2 linked regions of the Sus scrofa genome follow. The protein of the gene in region 2 interacts with the protein of the main gene of each other region in a pairwise test. Links are inferred from orthologs where the notes say so. Each region holds a gene or a part of one and is shown on either strand. Other genes may lie near its edges.

Evidence for each region.
Region 1: the proteins of L3MBTL3 (region 2) and PLEKHF1 interact in binary tests that used the Homo sapiens proteins (3 or more experiments, as listed by UniProt). The two-hybrid records come from large-scale screens. The link is inferred for Sus scrofa from reciprocal best matches to the Homo sapiens genes L3MBTL3 and PLEKHF1.

Annotation. Positions count from the first base shown.
Region 1 is NC_010448.4:39,792,433-39,796,236, reverse strand, and holds part of PLEKHF1 (pleckstrin homology domain-containing family F member 1), read right to left. Parts: intron 254-3,804; 5' UTR 240-253; coding exon 1-239. UniProt on the Homo sapiens protein: May induce apoptosis through the lysosomal-mitochondrial pathway. Translocates to the lysosome initiating the permeabilization of lysosomal membrane (LMP) and resulting in the release of CTSD and CTSL to the cytoplasm.
Region 2 is NC_010443.5:33,316,800-33,320,703, forward strand, and holds the start of L3MBTL3 (lethal(3)malignant brain tumor-like protein 3), read right to left. Parts: upstream 2,679-3,904; 5' UTR 2,517-2,678; intron 2,248-2,516; exon of another isoform or gene 2,226-2,247; intron 1,833-2,225; exon of another isoform or gene 1,716-1,832; intron 1,670-1,715; exon of another isoform or gene 1,456-1,669; intron 1,149-1,455; exon of another isoform or gene 1,129-1,148; intron 768-1,128; exon of another isoform or gene 517-767; intron 1-516. UniProt on the Homo sapiens protein: Is a negative regulator of Notch target genes expression, required for RBPJ-mediated transcriptional repression. It recruits KDM1A to Notch-responsive elements and promotes KDM1A-mediated H3K4me demethylation.

The sequences.
Region 1 (3,804 bases), on a different chromosome or scaffold from region 2:
ATGATGTGCTGGCTGCGGTACTTGCGCTTGTTGAGCACGATGCTGCCGTACACCAGGATGTCGTTGAAGAGGAAGAAGATGCGCGGTTTGGCCTTCTTTCGGCACTCCTTGGTCAGCACGCCCTCGCCCAGCAGCACCCGGCCCGGCAGGGCCAGCGGCTGCCCTGATGCCCCGAAGCAGCTCTCAACCGCTGCGATGCGCTGGCTGTTGATCTCGGTGTTTGCCAGGTAGTCAACCATCTTCGGGCACTCGGCTGTGGGAGGAGCAGCAGAGCAGGCATCAGCTTGCCCAGGCATAGCCAGAGGTCAAGGCCACCTGCCACCCCCCAGCTCATAACCCATCCACCAAACAGCCCACTTATTACCCCACTGTGACCCAGCAGGCCCAGGCGGCCACGCAACCAAGGAAACTCGCTGCCCAGAAGCTGACCCTTAGACAAGGGAGTTACTAGGAGGTAAAAAGGGATGTCCCCGTCCTGTTAGGAGCAGGTGGTGAAAGCCAGCCAGGGATGGGAAGGCAGGTGTAGATGTGTCACTGAGCTGGGGAGCATTGGAAGACAGAGTAGAACAAGCCTCAACAGCATCCACCCAAGGGGCAAGGATACTGAGCCTGGACTCTCATCAGGGGCTCCCAGGAGCACTAACTACTAGCACTTTGGGCCTGCCCCAGGGGGATGGCGAGCGCCAGGTGGCAGGGTGTCTGCCACCCCAACCTGTCATTGAGTCCCCTGTTAACCAAGACAAAGCGTTAGAGACCCTGCAACCACTCACTCAGCCCGTGGGCCCAAGGGTCACCACCACCATCACAGGTACCATTGCTGAGGGCTTCCTCCAAGCCAATGACTATCTCATTCATTCCCCAGTCCAGGAGTTCCCATCATGGCGCAGCGGAAACGAATCCGCTTAGGAACCATGAGGTTGCGGGTTCGATCTCTGGCCTTGCTCAGTGGGTTAAGGATCCAGTGTTGCTGTGAGCTGTGATGTAGATTGCAGACGAGGCTCAGATCTGGCATTGCTGTGGCTGTGGTGTAGGCCAGTAGCTACAGCGCCAATTCGACCCCTAGTCTGGGAACTTCCATATGCCGCAAGTGTGGCCCTAAAAAAAAAAAAAAAAAAAAAAAGACATTCCCCAATCCAACCCTAAGAGATAGAACCCCTTTCCCCTCCATGACAGGAGGGAAACTGAGGCTTTTTTAGTAAATGAGCAGCCCAGGGCTTGCACCCCTGGAGACCATGCTGCACAGTGCCTTCCCCCAAGGAGCATGAGGCCGCTTTCCTCCTCTGCCAAGTGCTCAGGGTGGCAGCCCCAGTTCTCACCTGGGCCTGCTGTGCTCTGTCCACACCCACTCCCTGTGACTCACCCGACTCATAGTTTTGAAGATCACCCAAACACTGCCAGCTCCCCAGGTCACGCCTGCAGTCCCAGCTTCTCCACTGAGCTGCCCCTGTGATTGCTCACCTGTTGATCCAGGAGGGTCCTCAAACTCCACATACCCCACACAAATGTGGATTTTCCCTCCAGCGCCTCTTCTTTTCCAGAAAGGAAGCCCCATGCACCTAGTTGTTGAAGCCCCAAATCTAGGACTCACCCTTGAACCTCTTCCCTGTACCCCCAACATTCAACCCTGGAGCAAGCGCCATCATTTGTACTGCTCACACGTAGCCCCAGTCTTCCCACTTCCAATCACACCGCTCCACCCATGAACTGACAGCAAGGCGCCACCACATTTTGCCTGTAACAGCATCTTCCATTCAGAATGGGTCTCTCTGGATCAACAAGGACCTGCTGTATATCACAGGGAACTCTACTCAATATTCTGTAATCACCTATATGAGAAAAGAACCTGAGAAGGAATGGCTATATATGTATAACCGAATCACTTTGCTGTACACCTGAAATTAACACAACACTGCCAATCGACCTAGTTCAATATAAAATAAAATTAAAAAAAAAAAAAAAAGAAAGAGGCTGTCTGCCAACCCCAGCTCAGGCAGCTTTCCCCCAACCCAGGACAGGGCTGCTGGCAAATCACGGCCTGAGGGTCAAATCTGGCTCACAGCCTGGTTTTATGAACAAAATTTTATTGGAATGTAGTCACAGCATTTAACAATGGTCTGTGCTCCTTTTCTGTTGCAGTGACAGAGCTGAGACTGTGATAGAGACCACATGGTCGTGGAGCCTAAAATACGCACTGTCTTTACCTAAGAAATTTTCTGACCTCATCTCCAAGATGCTACCTTTTTTTTGCTTTTCTTCATGGGACTTATCAAGCACCTGATATTTTCTTGTCTAGCCATCATTTGCTGGCGTGTTTTCTATTTCCCTCGCTCAGGTCTAAGCTCCATCAGAGCAGGAGCCTTTTCTTGTTCACTTGCTGTGTCCCCCCCAGTGCCTAGAACCGAGCACATAGTAGGTGCTGAGCACACAGGAGGGGCTTCAGGAGTGGCTAGTGAATGAATGAACCAGAGCTCTGGCCGGCCCACCGTGGGAGGAAGGGGCCACCCCCTCCTGTCTCTGAAGAGGAAGCAGATGAGCCAACACCAACTGCCACCGCCACCACGTGCACACAAGTGTACAGGCGCGCACAGCACACCTCCGGCCCCACTGATCAGACACGTGGTGTTTCTGGGTCACCACACGGCAGTTCTGTAAGTCAGGCCACCTGTGGGAAGCCAAGGCGGGGCCGGCGTGGGGGCCGGATGCCTCACACAACAGGGGTGCTTGGCCCCAGGTCACGTACCAGTTGGCTCCTTTCAGACCACAAGGCCTCCAGAGAAGTGCTGTCCACATCATCTTATGTAAGAACTGCTATTTTTAGGCTGCTGATCTTGGCAGCGTGTTGCAAACCTGGCTGATTATCAGTGACAGCCCCGGGCTATAGGTTACTCGGTCCCTGCCGGGGACAGTCTGGCAACATTCCAGAGGCCACCCCAGGACCCCTGGGCTGAGTGCTGGGCCCTGGGATGGGCTGGATGAGGGCTCTGTTGGAGGAGCTCCGAGTGCAGCAGGGGAGGGAGATGCACCAAGGGAGGGGACCTCAGGACCTGTGGCAGTGACAACACAGGTGCCTGGCAGAGGGGAAAGGGCAGAACCACCAGGTGCACTCACACAACAGGCTACTGTCGGCGGTTCCAACCACTGCGCCCAGTCCACGTGGGTCAACAGGGAGCCACAAGAGACACCAGTGGCCGAGCAGAAAAGGCAGCCTGCCGAGCAGTCTGTGTGACACCACACATGCAGAAAAGACACAGCATTTTGAAAGTGTTCAAGAACCAGTGTTCCTGTCGTGGCTCAGTGGTTAACGAATCCAACTAGGAACCATGAGGTTGCGGGTTCAATCCCTGGCCTCGCTCAGTGGGTTGGGGATCCAGTGTTGCTGTGAGCTGTGGTGTAGGTTGCAGACTCAGCTGGGATCTGGCATTGCTGTGGCTGTGGGGTAGGCTGGCGGCTACAGCTCCGATTGGACCCCTAGCCTGGGAACCTCCACATGCTGCAGGTGCAGCCCTAGAAAAAGACAAAAAGGGCAAAACAAACAAACAAACAAACAAAAGTGTTCAAGAACCATATCCATGAATAAAAATGTATAGGATGGAATCTTGTGCCCATGAGGATGGCTGCTATCACAAAAACCAAGAAATAAGTGTTTGCAAGGATGTGGTGAGGTTAGAACCCTCATGCACTGTTTTGTTTTGTTGTCTTTTTAGGGCCGAAGCATATGGAGGTTCCCAGGCTAGGGGTGGAATCGGAGCTGCAGCCACTGGCTGGGATCCGAGCCGCGTCTGTGACCTACACCACAGCTCACGG
Region 2 (3,904 bases):
GGCCAGTTTTGTACGTTCGCTATTTTGCTGCACTTGAAACTTTCCGGAGAAATGCTCTACTCGAGTCAGTGTTTTTCTAAAAACTTGCGCAAAAATCCACGCGACCGAGCTCGCCAGTACAGAGGCTCTCGGGCTCCCCACACTAATAAAGCTATTCCAAACAACGCTCTAGGAAAACCAAAATTAAAATTCGACGCACTCGTCCCAGCCTCTCCCCCCGCCCCATTCTTATTTCTCATCTCAGTTTCTCTTAACTTAGAGCAATCAAAAATCTATTTTTGTTTCTTAGGCACTCTGAATGAGCTCTAATGCATTTTTCCGGCGGTAGACCCGAGGTGGTAAAGGAGCGGGCCGAGGGATGCAGGGAGGGGGAAGGGCCGTGCTCACAGCGCCCGAGGAAGTTGCATAAGGAAAGAGACTCCGTTTTTTGGGTCCCCTCAAAAAAATCGGCGGGGAGGGGGAGGAAAAGGAAGCGGGGAGGGGGGGAGGTAGGAGGGAAACCGAAGCGACGTTTACCTTCGTCTCCCCGTGGAAGGGTGGGGTAAGAGCCGCGGTCTCCGCGACCCCGAAGGGCGGTTCCTTACCCCCACCTCTCTCCGAGCGCAGACGGACAAACAGATACCCCCACCCCTTCGCGGGGAAGGCGGGGAGGAAACTGCCCGGTTTTAAACTTTCTCTCACGGTCGCGCTAGGGCCGGGCTTTGACCAGAAGGGGTGGGGGAGACCGGAGGGCCCTTTTCTTTCAAGGTAATTAAAGTTTTACCACCAGCACAAAAGTTGCGCCCTCCCCCCGCCCGTGCCACCGTGCCCCCCTCCCCCGCGCCCAGGGCTCACAAGTTTTCCTCCCTCTCCACCCCCCACCAGCTCGCGGGGCGCGCGGCGGATGCCTCGGCTCCTGCGCTTCCCGATCCCCACCCCCGCCGGCCTCTACTTCCCCCCGCCCGGCCGCCGCGGCGCGAGGACGGCCCGCCGGGCCCAGGACGCTAGTGTGCAAAACCCATTATTCCGGAATGGCACACGCACGCGGCGCGAGGCGGGCGGCGGCCCCGCCTCGGACCCCTCTTTGCCTCCCCAGTATAAGGACGGCGTAAACAAGTTGCAGGAAAAGCAGCCCCGCGCCTTCACCACCTCCGCCCGCCGCCCCGGCGCGGCTGCCGCCGCCGCCGCCGCCGCCCGCCGCTACCGCCGCCGCGGCCGCCGCCTCCCGACACACGCCCGCGCCCGCACCCGGGCCGGCGCTGCGCGGCACGGCGCGGGGCGAACGCCGCGACGGCGCGGGCTCCCGGCCCGGCCCGCGGCCCGCGCCCTCCTCGGCGCGGACGGCCGCGGCGGGCCCGCGCCGCCTCGCTTCCCGAAGCACTTTCCTGCCTCGGGCAGAAATAAACCGGAGGGTTTATTTTTGTGCAACTTTCCCAAAATGGCGGAAATTGGAGCTGATCTATATGAAATTCTCACACAGTCGGTCGGGAAGGGGGAGGCGGCGAGGAAGAAAACGCAAACTCTCGGCCGCCGAGCCCGCCGCGGGTCCGTGAGTGTGTGCGTGCGTGTGAGTGTGCGTGTGCGCGGTGGGAGTCGGGGAGGCCTTTCCGCCGCGCACACACACACACAGCACACGCCGGGGAGACGCGCCTGCACATTCAACCAGTCCATTCTCCGCAGCCAGAGCGGGGAGAAAGTGGCCCGGCCTCTTTTCCCACTGCCTCGGTCTCCCGTACTTGTACTTCTCGCGCTCGCTCGCCCGCTCTCCGGTGCGCGCCCGGCACAAAGGCCACACGGGCGGAGGGGGCCGCAGGGGCGGCGCGCGGGGCTCGCGCCTCCCGCCGCACCGATCCGCGGCCCCGGCCGCCCCCGCGCTCCCCCCACCCCCGGCAGCGCCCCCCGCCTGGGCCGCCGCGCTCGCCGCCCGGGCTGCGGCTCCGCGGCGCCCACTCGGGCACGCACCCCGGCGGAGCCCGGCGCCGCCGCGCTCCCCCACCCCGCGCCCGGTGTCATGAAAGCGACCAAAGTGACAAGCTCGGGGGGCGCGGGGGAGGGGGCCCACACGCATCCCGCCGCCTGCGCGCGGGCGAGAGCCCGACGCGGCCGCCTCGCCCCGGCTCCCTTCCGCACGGCCCCCCACACCCTTCCCCGTGTGCGCGCAAAGGAAAAAATACAAGTCTCTCCTCCCCCCATTTTTTCCTTTCTCTTTTCTCTCTCTTTTGTTCCTCTTTCACACTCGCACTCACTACTTAAGAGTGAGATGCCCAGAGACTCCCCCTCCAGCCGTTTCCGAGTCACTTGCCCACTTTTTTCCCCGGGATTAAGTTTTCTCCTCTTTCCCAGAGGCGCAGAGAAGTGGGGGAGAAACCCCTTCTGTCCTTTCCCCTCCCCTGATCTGTTTCACAAGACGAGGGTGCGCTTCCTTCTCTCTATAGGTCTCTTAACTTTCATCCTCCCCCAGAAAAATAAATGAATGGCTTTTGCACGGACAAATCTTCATATTAATTAGAGATTAGATCCGATCAACCGCTTCTTACCCCCAAATTTTCTCTTTTTTTTTTCTCCGTCTCACGAGTAGTCCTGACAAATGGTCCAGGGCTGCGGGCGCAGTGCGCATGTGCGCGTAGAGTCAGGGCTGGGGAGAGGGGGAAACTGCGCTGGTGCCTGTGCCGCCGCCGCCGCCGCTGCCGGGGAGGCTCGCTCTGGCTTCCCTGTTAATGCTGCTGCGCCTTCGCCACTGGAAAGCAGCAATAAAGCCGGTTGGCAAATGCAGCAGCCCGCAGATACTGTTTCAGGTGCATCTTTTCAATATCCTTGTCACCGGCTCAGGGCTGGTTCAAGAACAATCAAAACAAATATGAAAGACTGCTAAGATTATAGATTTCTTTGTCTATTTTTCACTTTACTTTTTTAAAAAGGCATTTCTCTGAGCAGCTAATCCACCATGTACTGTTAAACGTCTGCTTTCAGCCATTCAAGAGTGGGCCACAGCCTTATACAAACACAACCCAAAAAGGCTAAACGCGTGCTACAGGTCATGAAAAATAAGAAATAAAGTTTTAAGCTTCTAGGCTATAGAACCTCCCCCCTCTTTGAGGACTGGAAGAATGCGTTATAAAGTGTGCATATAAAACTTGCGCGTGCCTTGCGTTTCCTAAGTGTTGGTCTTTATTGACAGCTTAAACATGTTAGGCCTCGGTTGTGAAATATGTTGGGATTCGTATGTCAACTTGGAAATCAGTGTTAAAGTCCCTTGACAATAAGCAGGTCGGCCGTGGACTACCCTCTGAACGTATTCAGTCAAGATGGCTGAGCAGTCCTAAACAGCAAAACCTGCTTTGTTAAGGCATCAAAACTAATCAAGCAAGAGTATTGTATTTCTGTATTGACAGCTTTCCACTTATTGACTGCAGGCTTCTTTTTTGGGCAGTTCACCATGCTCCTTTTCTACTAGATGCAAGTACTTAGAAAATAATTCAAGAAATTGAAGTTGTAATAAATATGTTTACCTTCATAACAGAGTTTGCGAGAAAAAAAAAAAGTAGCACTCATAATTTCAGAAATGGTGGAAGCAAGTCTTACATTTCACAGGAGTGGGGAGACAAAGTAAGGCCCCACTACTCAGAGTGGAGTATTTAGTTTGTATCTAATAAAGGGTAAAGGAGGCCCTTTTCCGAAATTGCTGCCTGAGGTCTAGAATTTAAATATATCACAGATGGAAATTCTGCTTTAAAAAATCCTTCCTCAAAATGTAAGTAATAATATTCTTGATTGAATTTTTTCACTTAAGGAATGTTCCTTGAACCAGTTTCAGAAAATAAACTGTTAAATTCTTTCCTTAGGACCATGAAATTACCCTAGAGAAGCAGACCACCCGACTATGTCGTGTGTTGGTACAGTGACCGAATTCTCCAAACCAAAAACC